3 linked regions of the Saccharomyces cerevisiae S288C genome follow. Changing the gene in region 2 together with the main gene of any one other region gives a genetic interaction. Each region holds a gene or a part of one and is shown on either strand. Other genes may lie near its edges.

What was found. Genes that interact genetically often act in the same process or in processes that back each other up.
Region 1: mutations in EMP70 (region 2) and YLL053C together harm fitness more than expected from each alone (negative genetic interaction), as found in Saccharomyces cerevisiae (one large-scale study listed by BioGRID).
Region 3: mutations in EMP70 (region 2) and YVC1 together harm fitness more than expected from each alone (negative genetic interaction), as found in Saccharomyces cerevisiae (one large-scale study listed by BioGRID).

Annotation. Positions count from the first base shown.
Region 1 is NC_001144.5:33,818-37,751, forward strand, and holds YLL053C (uncharacterized protein), read right to left. Parts: upstream 2,145-3,934; coding exon 1,686-2,144; downstream 1-1,685. Other genes in the region: YLL054C (uncharacterized protein), read right to left, coding at 1-1,387; AQY2 (Aqy2p), read right to left, coding at 2,095-2,544; FRE6 (putative ferric-chelate reductase), read right to left, coding at 3,516-3,934.
Region 2 is NC_001144.5:291,049-300,080, forward strand, and holds EMP70 (Emp70p), read right to left. Parts: upstream 5,047-9,032; coding exon 3,043-5,046; downstream 1-3,042. Other genes in the region: galactose permease GAL2, read left to right, coding at 1-888; SRL2 (Srl2p), read right to left, coding at 1,346-2,524; RAX2 (Rax2p), read right to left, coding at 5,541-9,032. UniProt on the Saccharomyces cerevisiae protein: With TMN2 and TMN3, plays a critical role in the late stages of a nutrient-controlled pathway notably regulating FLO11 gene expression. Acts downstream of RAS2 and TOR. Essential for cell adhesion and filamentous growth.
Region 3 is NC_001147.6:485,708-491,419, forward strand, and holds YVC1 (Yvc1p), read left to right. Parts: upstream 1-1,999; coding exon 2,000-4,027; downstream 4,028-5,712. Other genes in the region: TCB1 (tricalbin), read right to left, coding at 1-1,072; Rab family GTPase VPS21, read right to left, coding at 4,489-5,121; type 2C protein phosphatase PTC5, read right to left, coding at 5,416-5,712. UniProt on the Saccharomyces cerevisiae protein: Required for release of calcium ions from the vacuole in response to hyperosmotic shock.

The DNA of each region.
Region 1 (3,934 bases), 260 kb from region 2:
TATTAGTAGAAGCGTAATTTCTCTCAAATAGTTCTGGTAGAGATTCGTCAGTTTTCATAAAGGATCTTAAATATTCCAAACTTAGAATGTCAGAATCTCCTTCTGGAATCAATATTCCAAACTTCAAAAATTGCACGCCAAGCCATAATTTCCTTCTTAAATTGAATAATCTTGGATAATCGTCCGATTCGCTGACGTATCGAGTGTATTGGAAGGGTTCTTCATTCAGTCCTAGCTTTATTGCTACATTCTCCAAAAATTTTAGGTTTAGTATGTCACTGTGAGTAGGATACATGTCAGCTTGATCTGGATTCAAATACCGCAATATGAAAAAATAGAGCAGACAACAAAGTGTATGTTCATTAACATATTGAAAAACGTTCATGAGAGCAAGAAGTTTATGAGCGAGTAGCGTTAAATTATTCGATTTTACACCAAAAGATTCTTTAAATGAATGACTAGTACTTAGACTCAAACGTCTGTAAGAAAAAGCCAATATGATAGTTAGCAGTGTTATTGTCTCCAGTTTTCTTCTAGAGTCTTTGCCCGCAAATACAATGTTATACCCATTAAATTCATTCAATTGCAACAGCTCCCTTATGTTATCTTCGAATAATGATATTTCCAGTAACGGATAGACCGGATATATTGTTTTGTAAAAGTCCACGATTAAGCCATCAACCTCATTCTTATTGAGGAAATATTTGGATAACTCTTCCAAAAGGATGTTTATGGAAATTTTATCATTATTTTCTTCAGGATGCGCTTGTTCATAATCATACGTGTTATACAGAAAATCTATTGGAGGATACAATTTGCTTGTTTTTGAGGTATTTTCAATAAATTTAAGTGCAGCTTTATCAATAAAAAACAAAGGTCCAATATCACCGATTGTTAAGTTAAGTTCTCTTTTTTTATTGTTGGCAGAAACGTTTTCACGATGGCGTTCGACATCAATCAGTATCCTCTCATGTATGCAGGTGGTCAAGGCCTTCGCATACAAATCATGTTGAAGAATGCTATGGAAGGCAAAAGGACTATCAACGATGGTTGTGTTATTCATTACAACAAGCTTGTCGTGTGCATTCGATAAATTCATGGCAAAATTTTTCATTTCCCAGTCTTTAGTACTTGGATTAAGTATGGAAGTAAAGGAACCACTTGCGGACATCGATGCAGGAGTAATGTTTCTAATGTCTCTATGTGGGGCATTTTCGATAGTGGGAGATTTGTTAATCCGTCCTGGTTCCACTTCGTAGCTACAAATCGAGGATGAGGCCTTGCATTTGGAGCAAGTAGGCCAAAGTTTATCACATTTGATTTTCCTTTGCTTACACCGCAAGCAAACAAACGATGGCTTAACCTTTTTCTGAGATGCAATGCTCATATCCAGTGCAGTACACTTATCTTGTCATAGATTTCTGATGGGTAAATAATTACTTCACATCATCTTTGTTTCCAAAGTTTGGCCTCAATGTTGCCTTTAGGAGGAAAAAATGTGAAGAATGCATACTTCTGCCGCTTACGTAAAAACAGAACTCTGACCAGAAGAGATAAAAACAAAAAAAAAATAAAGGACAGTAAATATGAAAAATAAGATATTATTATATTAAATTAAATTAAATTAAATTAAACTACGATGGGAGCGTTATGCCAAAAAAGATAAAATTCTGAGCAGACTACTCTCAGTCTTCCTTCTTTTGACCTGCCGCCTTTTCGGCATTAACGTATGTAGTGTAATCAAGGATTTGTAATAATTGCCACACTGACCAGGCTAAGAAGGCACCCAAAAGTGGGCTAATCCAGTAGATCCAGTGGTAATGAGGGAAATATCTGGCAGCAACGGCGGCACCCAGAGATCTTGCAGGGTTGACACCGGTACCAGTGTAACCGGTCAAAGCCATGTGAGCCATGAATAAAGAAATACCAATTGGAAGCGCAGCCATAAAGTTAGTTTCACGTTTTTCAACAGCAGTCATCAAAACTGTTAAACACAACACAGCAGTACCAAACATTTCCAAAAACAACCCCCTAGATCTGGAACAGCCTAAACCCAAAGCATTAGTAAAGAGAACCTTGCCTGGAGTCATAGCACTAGCGGCACCACCAGCAGCCATCCCAGCAATGATCTGAGGAAACCACATCACTACACATCTGGCTGGTGAGATGGCTCTGGCCAAACACAAAGAGAGAGAAACGGCTGGGTTCAAAGCCCCACCAGAAACACCAGATAGAAAACATCACAGAGAAACCGAAACCAAGGGCAATCATGATCAATTGACCTGGATGAGAGCCCTCAGGCTCGGTTGTCAAAGCCACATCATGGTTAGCGACATTACAAATGACGTAAGCACACCATAAAAACATGAAGGTACCGCAAAACTCACCCACAGCAGCGATAAAGTGGTTTCTTAAGGTATCTCTGTCAATATTAAAACGCGAATGCTTCGTTTCCGGCTGTTCAGGTGGAATATAAGCATTGTCAACACCGGTCGGGTCCAAGTGCGAAATGTTTTTTTCAAGGTCGTTAGATTCGTTAGACATAGTATAACTAAGGTAGGCTAGTGTCGCTTTTGAATATTTTCAGGAATTGTAATAGCCAGGAACAAGAAAAAAGACATGCGCACACTAATAAGCTACTAAAACCAACATATTTATACTATCAACCGAGAGAGGGGCAGATATGATTCACGATAAAAAGTTAATAAAAGGATAACAGCGGCGCTCTAATTCGTTAATGAAAGCCATAGTCCGGTATGGACAAAAACTATTTCCTTCTTTTTTTTTTTTAGGTTTTTTTTTAATTTGCACTTGCAATAATCTAATTCACTGTAGGAGTTTAAAGAAAAACATCTAGAAGGATTGGAGGAGGTAAGTCATTATTATGGCGGTGCTCTTTTAGCGGGAAAAAAAAAAATACACCTACGACGTTAAAACAGATCGTGCTGTCGTCTCAGCGGCAGTAAAAGTACTGTAGTAGTTACGGTGCACGCAGATGCAATGCTAATTAAATAATCATGCTCCCATTTTTAAGAAGCAGAAAAAGGCCGCAGTAATTTGAGCCGTGAAAAGATTTCGGAGGGTTGATTCTTAACATTTTCCAAAAAAATGTCCTTTGGTCTGTTTGCTTGGGTCTGAAAAGAAGGACTGCAGCGCCACCTCCACTGGTTAAGGACAAAATCCATACTTATTCCATCTTTCTCGGGACATATTTTCCTGAGACAAAAGACCGTAGAACTTCAAAGACTCGTTCCCAGAAAGGGATTTAGAGTTAATTTTTGCTCGGCATCAAGCCGGAAAAATTCAGGCGCCGCTTAGTAATTAATTGCAAGTAAAGAAGTACCGGATTTATTAGACATCGTCTTAGCAAGCAAATTCCTGAAAGCTAAAACGCAAATAATTAACTAAAAATAGTTGCTAAAGAGCACCTTTTATGCGGTACATAAAAGTTTTTAGTGCCGTAGATATATGTAGATATAGGTGGGCGTAGGATCAGAAGGAGCCGGAGAGAAGATTTACCAACACTGATATTCCTCGAAATACTCTATAATTCTCTCTGGGTAACCGAGGAGTTTTTGAGAAACGGTGTTTCTAACATCGTCCACCAGAACAGGAGGGCCGCAGCACACGACCGCTAATGAATCTCCAGGCGGCGTACTTTTTATTGCGTTTTCAATTACATTGCTAAAATTAGGTCTTGCATTGCCGATGTGGGCGAAGCTTGTCAGTTCGGTCATTATATCATCAAAATGTATTAATTGGTCTCGTGCGTTTGCTGCCTTTGTAACAGCTGTTTTCTGTGTAAGGTAAACCTGCACGTTGACGTGGGATCGGCTATTTTTTAGCTCTAGTATCTCGGATTTATAGCCGTTAAGAAAAGAAGGATTTTTGATCGCCATGATCAAATCTATACTCTTGGGTTTATCAGGGTTTC
Region 2 (9,032 bases):
CGTTCCATTGCTAAGTCTAACAAGGTGTCACCAGAGGATCCTGCCGTCCAGGCAGAGTTAGATCTGATCATGGCCGGTATAGAAGCTGAAAAACTGGCTGGCAATGCGTCCTGGGGGGAATTATTTTCCACCAAGACCAAAGTATTTCAACGTTTGTTGATGGGTGTGTTTGTTCAAATGTTCCAACAATTAACCGGTAACAATTATTTTTTCTACTACGGTACCGTTATTTTCAAGTCAGTTGGCCTGGATGATTCCTTTGAAACATCCATTGTCATTGGTGTAGTCAACTTTGCCTCCACTTTCTTTAGTTTGTGGACTGTCGAAAACTTGGGACATCGTAAATGTTTACTTTTGGGCGCTGCCACTATGATGGCTTGTATGGTCATCTACGCCTCTGTTGGTGTTACTAGATTATATCCTCACGGTAAAAGCCAGCCATCTTCTAAAGGTGCCGGTAACTGTATGATTGTCTTTACCTGTTTTTATATTTTCTGTTATGCCACAACCTGGGCGCCAGTTGCCTGGGTCATCACAGCAGAATCATTCCCACTGAGAGTCAAGTCGAAATGTATGGCGTTGGCCTCTGCTTCCAATTGGGTATGGGGGTTCTTGATTGCATTTTTCACCCCATTCATCACATCTGCCATTAACTTCTACTACGGTTATGTCTTCATGGGCTGTTTGGTTGCCATGTTTTTTTATGTCTTTTTCTTTGTTCCAGAAACTAAAGGCCTATCGTTAGAAGAAATTCAAGAATTATGGGAAGAAGGTGTTTTACCTTGGAAATCTGAAGGCTGGATTCCTTCATCCAGAAGAGGTAATAATTACGATTTAGAGGATTTACAACATGACGACAAACCGTGGTACAAGGCCATGCTAGAATAATGCGTTTGAAGTGAGACGCTCCATCATCTCTCTTAATTTTTCATGACTGACGTTTTTTCTTCATTTTAATTATCATAGTATTTGTTTGAAAAAAAAAAAAAAAAATTTCCCTTATCAATGATATCCTTACGATTATATAAATTCCTTACCTAAACCTATTATTTGTGTACATATATCAGAGTATTATTACATATATAACCTTTTTCTCTAAAACAGGAAAAAAAAAAGAAAACGATAACATGCTCTGCCATCCTTTGTTCACCGAGCAAAATTAAAAACGCAAAATGAATTGTCCCTATGAAATTATTAAAGGACCACATCACCAGACTTATCTCTGGGGGGTCCTCTAGAAAATAAGTCAGGTACTTGCCTGGACTTTCTTCCAGTTGAATTCCTGAGCTAACATACAATTAATGGAGTGAGAATGTTCGAACGATCCAGGAGTTGCTTTTTTCAGTCATTTGTTTATCAGTGTAACAAGCATTTCCTTTATTTCTTTTATATCAACCTGCAACCTATTAATATTCAATTCAACGTCTCGGAGCTTTTCTCGTACCGTTTTACCATCATCCATTTCCATGCTAACTAATTCTGAGATTACGATTACATATTGTCTCAGTTCTGGTTCATCAATGGCTGATAAAACTTTCATTACATTTTGGAAAAAATCTTCGTCATTTAGGTCTAAAGTCAGGATTTGGTTCCTTATAGACTCTCTACGATCTTTTTTCAAGTTTTTTTCTGAAGAAATATGTCCATTTTCATTAGTGACAGCGGTAGAGTCCTCTTCCGCTCGAACCAAACTATCACTGCCGGTGTTTTCCTCTCGAAAGGGTTTGTCTTTACCAATGGAAAGACGCCCGTCTTCTGCGCTTTCATATAATTTGACAGTGGCTATATTGAACTGTTCTTGCAAATCGCCAGTTTTGGCATCCCCTACCCAACCTTTTTCATGCAATTCCTTTCCTTGAGTGACCCAAGCGACGAGGTTATCTCTAATATATCTTGAAGTTATAGGTACTCTTGATTTCTCCTTATAAACTCTGTTAAAAAACTCAGCTATCATTTGATGACATAATATAGGTCTCCTTTTACTTGCTCTCTTTGTTGTGTGGAGCAAGAGGGCCCAATATATGACTGTTAACTTTTCACAAAGACTTTTTTCTTTATTATTGGACCATCGAAACTTCCTTAGTTGCCTTGTTTCCGCTTCGTCATTACTGTTTCCCCCCAAGTCTGTGGGGGCTCCAACGTGCAATATGTCGTTGTCAATATCACTAGAAGTATGAGTTTCCACATTCAACTTGGTATTAGTAGTGTTAATTCTTTTATTAAAGCAAATAGTATGTGTAGATTGCAGGAGGTCGAAGCTCTTCGGATTGGCAAAATCAATATTCTGCTCTATAATTTTCACAGGTTTTGTTGGCAGTATTTGTGCAATTCCTGTCATTGAGTTTCTAAATACATTCTTTTGGTCATATTTTGAAGTGCTCTTTTTGCTTTTATGTACTTTTTTTGAAGAGGACGCATTCACATTTGTTACTTCCAATTTCTCTTCCTCCATTTTTGGCGTTTCAGAGGGCTTTCCGTAATAATCTTCAAAGGAATTTAAAGTAAAATTCTTAAAGTTGGACATCCAAAAGGATCTTCACAATATAAGCGTTTTTCTGTCCACCAGCTTCAACAAGCTTCAGCCTACTACCAATTTCTAATACTGTTTTATCTTATTACTTGCTTACTTATCCACTCCCATTGTTTTGTCCTAGATGACAGCATCACCCGGACTGAATATTAAAGCGTCAGTGTCACTTATTTTAAGTCATAATCAAGTCCTTTTAATGTGGCTATAGATTAACCCTGTACACTAAAGCTGTATATTATTTCCTTAAAGGAGCATTTATTCCCAAACTGTAACGCAGAATGTCATTCCAGAATCATGGAAAAAAGATTCAAATAAATAAATGTATATACACCAAAAATTACAACTTCGAATCCTATAGTACTTTTAATCTTTTTGAAAAAAATATTACTAAAAACTATGTATCATGTCCAAAGGCCATAGGGCCTAGCATTTTCTTTGTTAAAAAAGATAAACAGTAGAGAAATAAATAAAAAACGCCCTAACCCAACATATAGGACCTCTTTTTCGTTGGCCTAGTCAACTTTAATGGATGAGTAGATTTTTCTAACAAAGAGCATACTGCTGATAAAGCCAATTGACCCCGTTACCAAACAGCAGAGTAATGAAATGACTGAGGAGTATCCCACGTATAAGACAATAGTCGTGAATCCACCCAACTTAAATTTGGTGAATAAAATAGAATGAATAAACACATACAAAGCACAACCGGCGCCTCCAATTATGAATCCTCTCCATTGCCACTTCCAGTTCTCCAGGCATAAGGAATGATAAGTGATCAAAATAGTGACGAGTGAACTTGTCAAAGTTAATAGGAGGAAAGAGAAAAAGAGGAAACCAAACATGTAAAAAATCTTATTAAACCATAAACTTGTGTATATGAAATACAACTCAACGGCGATGGAGCCAAATGGAAAGATACCAGCAATCAAAGTAGCTGGTATAGTCTTTAAATACCAAGGCTGGAAGGGTATTTGTCTTGCGATTTGGTTTGTCTTGGTTGGATGTTCATCCCAGTGACATCTTTTCCTGGCAATCAATGAACCAGCAAATGATAATGGGATTGAGAACAAAAACCATAGAAAAACCATAAAAAACAGAGTACTTGCTGGTATGACACCAGAAGAATGAACAAACATTAAGAAAAAGTTCAACGCAATAATTATTAGCAGAATAGCACCAGGAACTAGAAGTGGAGTCAATATCAAGTTTGCCTTCCAGTATGGCCCATTGAAAAATTTGTAGATGCCCATAGATGTATAAGAGCCGACAAACCCGAATAATGCATATAAGATAAACATAACAGTGGCTAAGGAACCTCTAGAACTAGGTGATAGGAAACCCAATGCAGCGAAGAAGATACTGCAAGTTACCATCAAAAATAATTGAACTCCTGAACCAACCAAAATTGAAAGGGTTAGCGATTGACTTGGCGAACGAAAAACATCACCATGATTCAATTTCCAACCCGAATCTTCTTGAAAATCATCGTCCAAATTTAACTCGTTGTAACGTGCGAAATCACTTTTCAGTGCGCGCAATAGCGAATGGATAACAACAGATGACAATAAGACAACAACTAAGGAGAAATTTATCAAAGAAAACCATTGAATAGAAGGATCATATACGTGTAAATATTTGTCCCACCTGGTGGCCCAAGAAGTCGCTGATTCATTGAATTTAACGGAATAAGTAAAATAAACTTCATTATCATTTCCTTCGTCTAGCATCAATGGGCTGCCAGTCGTTTCACATGTACCTGGACTGGAACGTTTTATGGAAACCGGTTCGACGATAACACCAACTACACGATAGTTACCTTCACCACGATCGTGATATTCAATCATAATATCGAAATGGTTGGCAAAGTAAGGCAATTCGTAAGTTTTCACCATGTTACGATCATTACGTGTTTCCAATTCCACATCCTTATCGGTGGTTTCTGCCCCTTTTGGAGTAGCCTCAATGTCGGTTCCTTGAGTTACCTGTACAAAACCAAGGTTGAAGCCAGCACCATAAAAACTAGTCTTAGTTCTGCCATCATAAACCTCTCTTGCAGCCGGTAATCCATCAATAAGCCAGTTTTGGAAGAAGCCATTTTTTATCAATTTATTGATGAATTTAGCATCATCTCCCGGAATTACGGTCTTACACAGGGATTCACACTCTTTTTCTTGTAACATATTCAATTGGAATGGTGAATTATAAATTCGATCACCAAATATAACGGATCCCAAGGATTCAGGTTGCTTTTCGACTTTTTCAGGCTGACAAAAATGGAATCTATTGTAATAGTAGTCGTATGAGTACAAGAAATTTTCTTTATCGCCAGAAACGTTATTACCGTCCTCATCTTTGTGTTGATAATTCATTGATGGAGTTAAATGATTAACGAGCAATGGGATGTTGTCATTTTCCCTGTAAGTGGTAGGCGCTACACCTGGTAAATAGAAGGCTTTGACTGTTGACACAAAAAAATACAACAACAAAAGCTGTACGTGTGCCATTTTGTAAATCATTCTGTTTTGTTTTCCTTTCGGTACTTGCTCTCTGCTACTAAATTAATATCTGAAAATATAACGGTAGCAGATGAAGGAAAAGCTGGACAAGGAGCCAAAAATTAACTTAACTAACGTACCAAAAAAAGATACAAATAAAAACAACAAAGCAGTTCAAAAACCTTGAATTACCTTTTTGTTTATCATTAGGCCTATTTCTTCGAACCGATGACATTTTTCATGGCTTCACCAAGTAAAGAAAAATTGCCGTGAAAAAAATTTAAAGGGCTGTAACCCGGACTTTTGTATTATAAGTTAAAATCACTCATTCTCAGGCAGTATTGGTAACATTCCAAGTGACTTCCAATACGTGTTGAATTTACTACTAACATTCCAGTGCAAGTAGTAATTTTTATTAAGTTTTGATCAACTTAGGATTTTCCTATTTTATTTTTGTTTATTATATTAAGTGTTCATTATTTTAAGTAGTTATATATTATATAATACAACCCCGATTAGACAAACTTCATAAGTTTTTCGGGTGGGACGGTATCAAGCATTTCATTCTCATCAATTCGCGGTTTAATGGGCTTATAATCACCCTCTGGATCCTTAAACACGTAGGCAAGAATGACGCCTGCAATACCAAGGACAGAAACTGTCCCTAATGCTAGTGCAAGACCAATTAAAACGACAAAACCACGACCTATTTTCTTCTTCTTCGATTTTGATTTAGATTCACTGCTTGCCGATGAAGATGGAGGCTGGGATGATGTTGACTGAGGACTTGTCACAGTAATGTTCACATTGGCAAGTGGTGACTGAGAGTTGAATTCAGTTGAAACGTCTCTATTAATAAAAATTATTGGATTGTAATTGGAAGTATTTGTTGTTTCTGAAATAAAATATGGGGTCCATTTTTGGAAATCAAACAACAAACTTTGTAGGTATCCGTATTGCGAAATATTAAAATTACCATTAAGTAAGAGGATACTGCCATTATTAACATTGTTGATTCCTCTCTTGTTCAAAGTGTTGGATTCAATATCTGTGTATATAGCTGAAACAGAGCTAATAGAGCTAGCATTGCCAGGTAACGAGGTAATATTCCATTCTTGGTTTCTATAGATAAATAATGAAGTATCATTCCATGCCACTATGGAGTCTTCAGTGACAGTAAACGAATTCAGTTTCCCTTCAGAACCACTCAATAATGGAATCATAGTAGAATTGGTTAAGTTAAAGGATCCTAAACGTATAGATTGGTATTCTTTTGTTTCAAAAAGGCCTGAGATAATTAATTCTGATGAGTTGGTGAAGGAAAGTTGTGTGATTTCACCAAAAATCGTGTTATTGAGGAAGGTAGACCAAGTTTTGCTTTCATAATTGTATAGACATAATCCGGTGCAATTCGGCTCAGTCATTTGGAAATCTCCGCCGACAAGCATACTACAGTTTTTTTCAAAGTTAACTAAAGCATTTATTCTAGCATTTGATCCTAGTGTTTCATTAGCAATCATGGTCAAATTTCTCAAATCAAAAATCGACAGTTCTGCTGTGGTTGAAGATCCTGCACTGACAGCTAGTAAAGTTTGATTATCAGCGTATAGCATTTGAGTAATACCGCTAGACCAATTCCAGGAAGGATAAACTTCATTAGAAAAATAAATTTTGTTTAGAGAATCCACCTCATATGCATATGCCGTGGCAGACTCATTTAAATAAGCTCCCAGGTAAGGTACAATACCCCCTTCTAGGTTAAGTGGCTCTATTTCATTTTCGTTCAAAAAACGTACAGACCCATTCAAATTACCATATTGCATATGAGATACTGCACCTGAAAACAAAACATCGCCATCGCCATTGTTACCAGCCGCCCAAAGTGATAGACTAAAGGAACTGGAGTTCCGTATAAGCGCATTGGAAGATGCATTGACCACATAATCGTTATCAAGAACAATAAAGTCGTTATTTGCAAGACTTATATTAAGGGCACTATTCACTGTCCTCGATTGGTTGAAGACATTCTCAAATGATCCATTAAACAAAAAAACAGCTGATTGATTATTTGATGAAAGAATATCTCCAAATATTAGTAAACCTTGGTTAGTTTTCGTTATACCATGTACATCACCTTGAATGGTTTGGTTTTTACTTGATGTAACCTCAAAGTCGTCATTAAGGTCGACAATGGAAATACGGTTGCTTACTCCACCAATTACTAATTTGTTATCGTAAATGTCAGCATAAAGGGAAGAATTTTTAGGGTAATTTTTTACTGGGAAAAGATTCAAAGTAGTATTACCTACCTTTGTTTCGTTCAATCTCGTGCTGGTAAAGTTTGATTTCTGGTATTGGAGAATACCATTCAATAAAGTTTCTTTTTTAGCGTTGCTAGAATCTGAAAGTGTGTTAAAAGCATCTAAAGAAACAGTAATGACATTAACTTGATCTGCCACGACCACTGTTGCAGTGTTGGTTGTATAAATTCCTGAGACATACTCCAAAACGATCTCCGGTGAGAAATCTAGATATCCCGAGTAGATTTGATCATATTTTAGATTATCATTATTCTGGTAAATCAAGTACGTCTTCATTATTGTGTTATTTTGTTGATTCCACATGGTCACGTTTACAATACCTCTTGCGGAGCACGTATTATCCTGAAGACACCCTGGTGTATACATGTTGATAGTGTAGTGACCGGGGTGGATAATGTTTGGGTAAAACTTTACGCGTGGAATTGGCTCATTTTGATCTGGAACATATTTCGCGGCTATATAACTTTCACCTGTTAGACCATTATACCAATCATTGCTCGACAATGTAGATGACGACGAATCATTGGTAAGCGCGCTGCAGCCATATTCGTTGAGAGAATCATTAGCATAAGTGGAGAATGTGTCCTGATAGAGCTCCAAACCGGATAATCCAACACTACCACCGTATGAATTTAATGCTACAAATTTTAACGATGAAACGGGAAGTTCATTCACAAACGCAAAGTCTTGGAAATCTGACGTCCATTTTACGTCTGTCTTGTTGTTATCGATGAAGGTAATCATGTCCATGGATGAAGATACATTTTGGCTTGCTGATAATAAAGTGGCTCGGCTATACAAAGGGCAAAATTCACCGCAATTCTTCAACTCCCCACTTAGTGGGTCCAGATACGTTAAATTCATTATGCTACTGGATGGATCAGTCAGAATTTGGAACACGGAGATTTCACTATCGGAACGTTGGGAATTATAAAGCCTTATTTTTGTTGGTGAAACTTCATATGGTAAATTACAAACTAGAGACCCAGACGTATCCGGATAAAGCCATGCATCCTCATTAGTGTTAGGACAAACTAACGAATCAGATGCAAACGTTGTACTTCCCTGGGAATCCCAGGAAGCGTACCTCAGTGGAATTCGTTGGCCTAGCTCCAATGTAGTAGCGTTTAAAGAGGAAGTTGAGTTCGTACCGTTATTTGAACTACTGATAAGCGCAGAAGGATCATCCAGTGTATAAAACTGGCCTGCAAATAAAATGTTGTCATTATTTAGCTTGACTATGGAATTCACACTGGAGTTTTCACCAAACCCTCCAAAAGGTAAAAGTTGGGTGGTATTTGATATGGAGTCCCAAATGAGAGCACTATAGCCCGTCATGGAGCCATTATTATATGAAAAGTTTCCTCCAAAATAGATAGAAGAATTGTCTGCGAGCACAGCCTGAACAGCTCCCAAAGACTGGTTGAATATAGGCGTCATAGACAGTGTCGACAAATTGTATAATATCTGGTTTCCGACAGAGATATTGTTTATCGTGCCTGATCCGCTAAGAATAAACGAATCAACGCCAAATGGTGTAATTTTGTCTATTCGAGTATCATCAGAGGCATCTTCCAACTGGATATAGGTGTTGTTAGAGTAATAAACTAATCCATGTGAGCTTGTTTCTGGACCTATTTCTTTAGTGAAATTTTGTTGGCCTGTGTACTCGTAAAAAGATAAGGC
Region 3 (5,712 bases), on a different chromosome or scaffold from region 2:
TCTTGGCCATCTTTTGTATTAGTGTCATAAGGCCTGGGATAGCTAAAATTTCCCAATTGAAGATGGAACGGCCGAATAAGGTAGCAACAAAATCAAAATCAGGAACCTTCAGTAGCTGGATATTAACAGTTTCGACATGAGGGAAGGGAGTCATCAATTTGAATTTCACTCTAGCATGAGCCTTGAAAGCAATGTCTGACACAGAAACAGGGATGGTGATACCAAAAATTTTGGCCTTAACAACCGCTAATTCATTAACGTAATTTCTGACTTGCTTAGCACTCATGTCGCATAAATCGTGAGGAGTAAAAGAAATACCCCAGTCCATCACAACAACATCGGATGCAGTGTTTTGGAAAGTCTTCACCAAATCAACTCTGGGGGGTTTAACACCAAGTGTCAACTCATCGATCCATAGTTGAGTAATAAATTTGGGAATCGCCTCATTAGTAGCCATTTGTTCATTAGCTTGCTGAACGATTAATTGACTAACGGAAGGTTCTAAAATGGGCCAGTACTTATCCAAAAAGGCATTCAACCATTCTAGGGATTCATAGTCGTTTTCCACTTTCTGCACCGTGAACTCTTTCTGGACTAACTCTCTTATGGAACCTCTGTATTTTTTAGCAGAGGTTCTATACAACAATGAAGTGATAACGATGACAAAAAAGGCCGACCCCATTGAAAACTTATAATGACCAAGTGCAAATGATGCCACGCCTCCGATAAAGAAAATGGCTACCGAATGATACCAGTCACCGTAAAGGCTGTCCGGTATGATGTTATCTAAGAAGGTTTCTCTAGTCATATCCATCAATTCATCATCTAAAGTTAATTCGTCTTTGTCTTCCCAGCCACCAATCTGTTTCCAGCCGACATAAGAAGCTTCATGGATACTTCTCTTGAAGCTTTCATCACTAGCATGTGCCGCCTTCTCAGATGACACGCTTTTACTGGATTCGGTTTCCTCTTTCGTCTTTGGAGGTTCTAACTTATCTATCCCATTTATGTTAGCTACTTGGGCTGTTTCGGGCTTCTTTGGTGCTGTTACCCCAGTATCTTCTTTGGCCATATTGTATGTACCACGCAATTGAAGTTTTCAGAATGCACTAGCTATCTTTTTTTATCTTAGCTATTCTTCTTCAATTATCCTACTTATTCTTCAGCAAAAAAAAAATAATAAGCTAAGACAATGCTATACAAGTCAATTACCAGCCAGTAAGTCCAAATTGGAGTAGCCAATGCTATTAGTTGATAATTTTGACGGCCGATTATACTATTCCAATTGCAGCAACATCCCTGTCCCTTAGCTTTTTGAGGGGCCTTTTGTTATAATTTTTCATGCAGCATTCCGGTCGCCAAAGTTGTTATCACTTCTAACGTAAATCGTTTTCTCGTTATGTCCGCTATTTTAGAATGAGAATAATGGATAAAATTGGCCTAAAAAGGGAGCGAGTATAACGTTACTGAGATACAATTGTACATTTTGCCATGGAAATGAGCCAACTAGTCTAATGAGATTTTCAATGCTTTATTTCTTTTTTTAGTTTCTCATTTTATTGTTTCTCTAGTTATTAGTCCTTTGGTTATTTTTATGTCACCACCTCTTGTCACATGACCATTTTTGTTACTTGCTTGGTTTTACAATGATTTATACATTCTTGGGCCTCTCTTGACATATTTTTATCGTCATAATAAGTTCTTCATTCGTTCTCTAAAACAACAAAGTTAGACTCCATGGCCAAGTTGGTTAAGGCGTGCGACTGTTAATCGCAAGATCGTGAGTTCAACCCTCACTGGGGTCGTTAATTTTTTAATTTTTCTCCTACACTGTTGCTATGTCGGAGTTATCTCATAAGAGCTGAAAATATGTGGTAAATTTAGTCAGTATCCTTCGAGGATCAGCTAGAGCCTATTCAATGCAATTGTCATTAATCAGTGGCTTGGTAAGGCAATAGAATTCAGTTATAAAATATAATATTACTAGAACAGGAGCATTATGGTATCAGCCAACGGCGACTTGCACTTGCCAATTTCTAACGAACAGTGCATGCCGGAAAACAATGGATCTCTTGGATTTGAGGCCCCCACTCCGAGACAGATTCTCAGGGTTACGTTAAATTTGAAATACTTAATTGATAAGGTCGTACCTATTGTTTACGATCCCAATGATATTGTTTGTGACCATTCTGAGATTTTATCTCCAAAAGTTGTGAAGCTGGCTTATGAAGCATGTGGCGGGAACCCTAAAGACAAGGCCAACAAAAGAAAATATCAATCTGTCATTATTTTTTCACTTCTTAAAGTTTGTGAGTGGTATTCCATATTGGCCACTATGGAAGTGCACAATGCCAAACTTTACGAAACCAGAAATTTAGCCTCACAACAGTTATGTAAATTGTTAATTGAAAGGGAGGAGACAAGAGACCTGCAGTTTCTTTTCATGCAGTTACTGCTGCGTCGGTACGTAATCAACGAGAACGATGAAGATCAAGAACCGTTGAATGCCTTGGAACTTGCCACAGATATGCACTGTACTACAGTGATAGGATCGAGTGGATTTCAGCGTTGTTTAAAATGGATATGGAGAGGATGGATAGTCCAAAATGGCTTGGATCCCACAACTTTTATCAAGGACGATTCACTGGCGGAAGTGTCATTGATCTCTCATTTCAACCCCGTAAGATTAAAGGCGCCTGTATACCAAAATTATTTGCAGATGATCTTCTCATTTTTGTTTCTAGGGCTTTATACCTTGGTGGTTAATGGTAAGGACTCTGAGAGAGTCCAATCTTTCGATTTGTTAGAAAGCATATTTTATGTTTTCAATACTGGTTTCATCTTGGATGAGCTCACTAAGCTTTATTATATTGGTTATGCGCACCTATCGTTTTGGAATTTATTTAATGATACCACATATTTGATAATCACGTTTGCTATGGGGTTCCGTGCAATGAGCGTAACGCCCCTTAATGCAAAATACTCTTCAGAAGATTGGGATAAAATATCATATAGAGTCTTATCCTGTGCAGCACCATTTGTGTGGTCGAGACTCCTACTATACCTTGAATCACAAAGGTTTATTGGGATTATGTTGGTTATCCTAAAACATATGATGAAAGAATCCATTGTATTTTTCTTCCTTCTATTCTTAATAATGATAGGATTCACTCAAGGTTTCTTAGGTTTGGATTCCGCAGATGGTAAGAGAGATATCACCGGACCCATCCTGGGTAATTTAACAATCACCGTTTTGGGTCTTGGTAGTTTTGATGTTTTCGAAGAATTCGCTCCCCCATATGCGGCAATACTGTATTATGGTTACTATTTTATTGTTTCGGTTATCCTTTTGAATATATTAATTGCTTTGTATTCGACTGCGTACCAAAAAGTTATTGACAATGCAGATGACGAGTACATGGCTTTGATGTCACAAAAGACGTTGAGATACATTAGAGCACCTGATGAAGATGTCTATGTTTCTCCATTGAACTTAATTGAAGTGTTCATGACACCTATCTTTCGTATTCTTCCACCGAAGCGTGCTAAAGATTTGAGCTATACTGTAATGACAATAGTGTACAGCCCATTTTTGTTGCTTATTTCTGTTAAAGAAACTCGGGAGGCTAGAAGGATAAAATATAACAGGATGAAAAGGTTAAACGATGATGCCAATGAATATGATACTCCATGGGATTTGACAGATGGCTACTTGGATGATGATGACGGTTTGTTTTCTGATAACCGAAATTCTGGCATGAGAGCCACCCAGTTAAAGAATTCCCGTTCGCTAAAACTGCAAAGAACAGCAGAGCAGGAAGATGTCCATTTTAAAGTCCCTAAGAAGTGGTATAAAAACGTTAAAAAATGCAGTCCCTCCTTCGAACAGTATGATAACGATGACACTGAAGATGATGCTGGTGAAGATAAAGATGAAGTCAAAGAGCTCACTAAGAAAGTGGAAAACTTGACAGCTGTAATTACCGATCTACTCGAAAAATTAGACATAAAGGATAAGAAAGAGTAAACGACATGTGTTCAAATACTGCTTAATTAATTTCTCAGAAATCCATATATATATATATATATTGCTCCTCATTGCAACTTTGTAAATTTAATGTTCCTTTAATTTATCATTATTTACAATATTAACTAATCCATCTCCCGATTTTCGGCATAAAATAAGTTTATATTTTGGTCTACATGAAAACAAAAGTTTAACTAAACTAACGTGTACAAACCACTTTGAAACGTATATAAAGGTCTAATAAAAACGACTGGCGTTTTGAAAGATAATATAATGATCTAATGCAGTTAAAAAATTTACAAATTATAAGAAGAAAAGAAAAACAACGATTACGGTAAAAAATGAAAACTCCCTCTCCTTTCTAGGTACGATAAATTATGACTTTCATCTTTCCCGTTTTGAAGATCTATTTATCTCAATTTGCCCAGACTTTTTTTTTATATATATTTATTTTCCCCTCTCTAACAACTGCAAGCACTGTTTGCGCTGGTCCCATCATTAGCAGCGTTCAAATCCACTCTTTGATTGTTCGACTCACGTTCGTTACTTGCACTATTTTGCTCTTCAGCCGTCTTCAGTGGTATCTTTTCACCGATTCCCAAAAATACATCGTTAACATTCTCTCCTGTCTTTGCACTTGTTTCAAAGAACAACAAGCCCTTTTCTTCCGCTAGCTTTTCACCTTCTTCCCTTGCGACTTTTCTTTCCCCACCTTCTTGCAGCATATCGATCTTGTTACCAACTAACGCAATGATGATATCCTTTGATGCCTGTTCATGTAATTCCTTAACCCAGTGGCGCGCTTTAATAAAGGATTGTGGTTTTGTAACGTCGTATACTACAAGAGCAGCTTGTGCGTTTCTATAGTACATAGGTGCTAAAGATGCAAATCTCTCTTGCCCAGCAGTGTCCCATATTTCAAACTTAACAGTATGTTCATTTATAGTAACTCTTTGAGTGAGGAATGCTGCACCAATGGTGGGCTCCTTATTTTCGGCAAAATCATTAGATACAAACCTTAGGACTATTGACGATTTACCAACTGCTGCCTCACCCAACAGTACCAACTTTATGGAAGTGACTGATGTGTTCATTTTTTTGTGTGATAAAAGGGATATTTTTTTATAGCTTAGATAAGTCGACGATCTTGCTTTTTATTTTTAAAATCGTTGCCACTTTTATAAGATAAGCTGCTCGTATTTTCACCTCACTTCTCTTTCTTTGTCTTTTCGGGGATATTGTTTTAGCAAAAAGCCCCATAATGCAAACCGAGAAAACCAAAAAAAAAAAAAACACGTATGAGGTGACAAGAAACTAGATAATCAGCAGACTAATATCTATAAAATAAATCCTCTGGTATATACCTACCTCAGCATAAGTTTATATCGTCATAATCTAGGTTTTGGCTTTGTTGTTGCCTCCGGGTTCATAACTATTGAAGTAGCATTGGAGACAATTGAGGGTGTTCCAGAATCACCAAAGAACGCCACTGTTACTGTCAAGTCATCTCTGTATCTTCTACTCATCGGCGATGGTATACTTACCAATGCCGATACATATTCTTTTCTTCCGCCCGCACTTAATGCATTTCTAATTAAATGAGTGGCGACGTTTTTGTCTTCAATAAGATACTCTGGGTTTGATCCTGATGGTGAGCTCGAATTATTATCCTTGTACCTGAATGC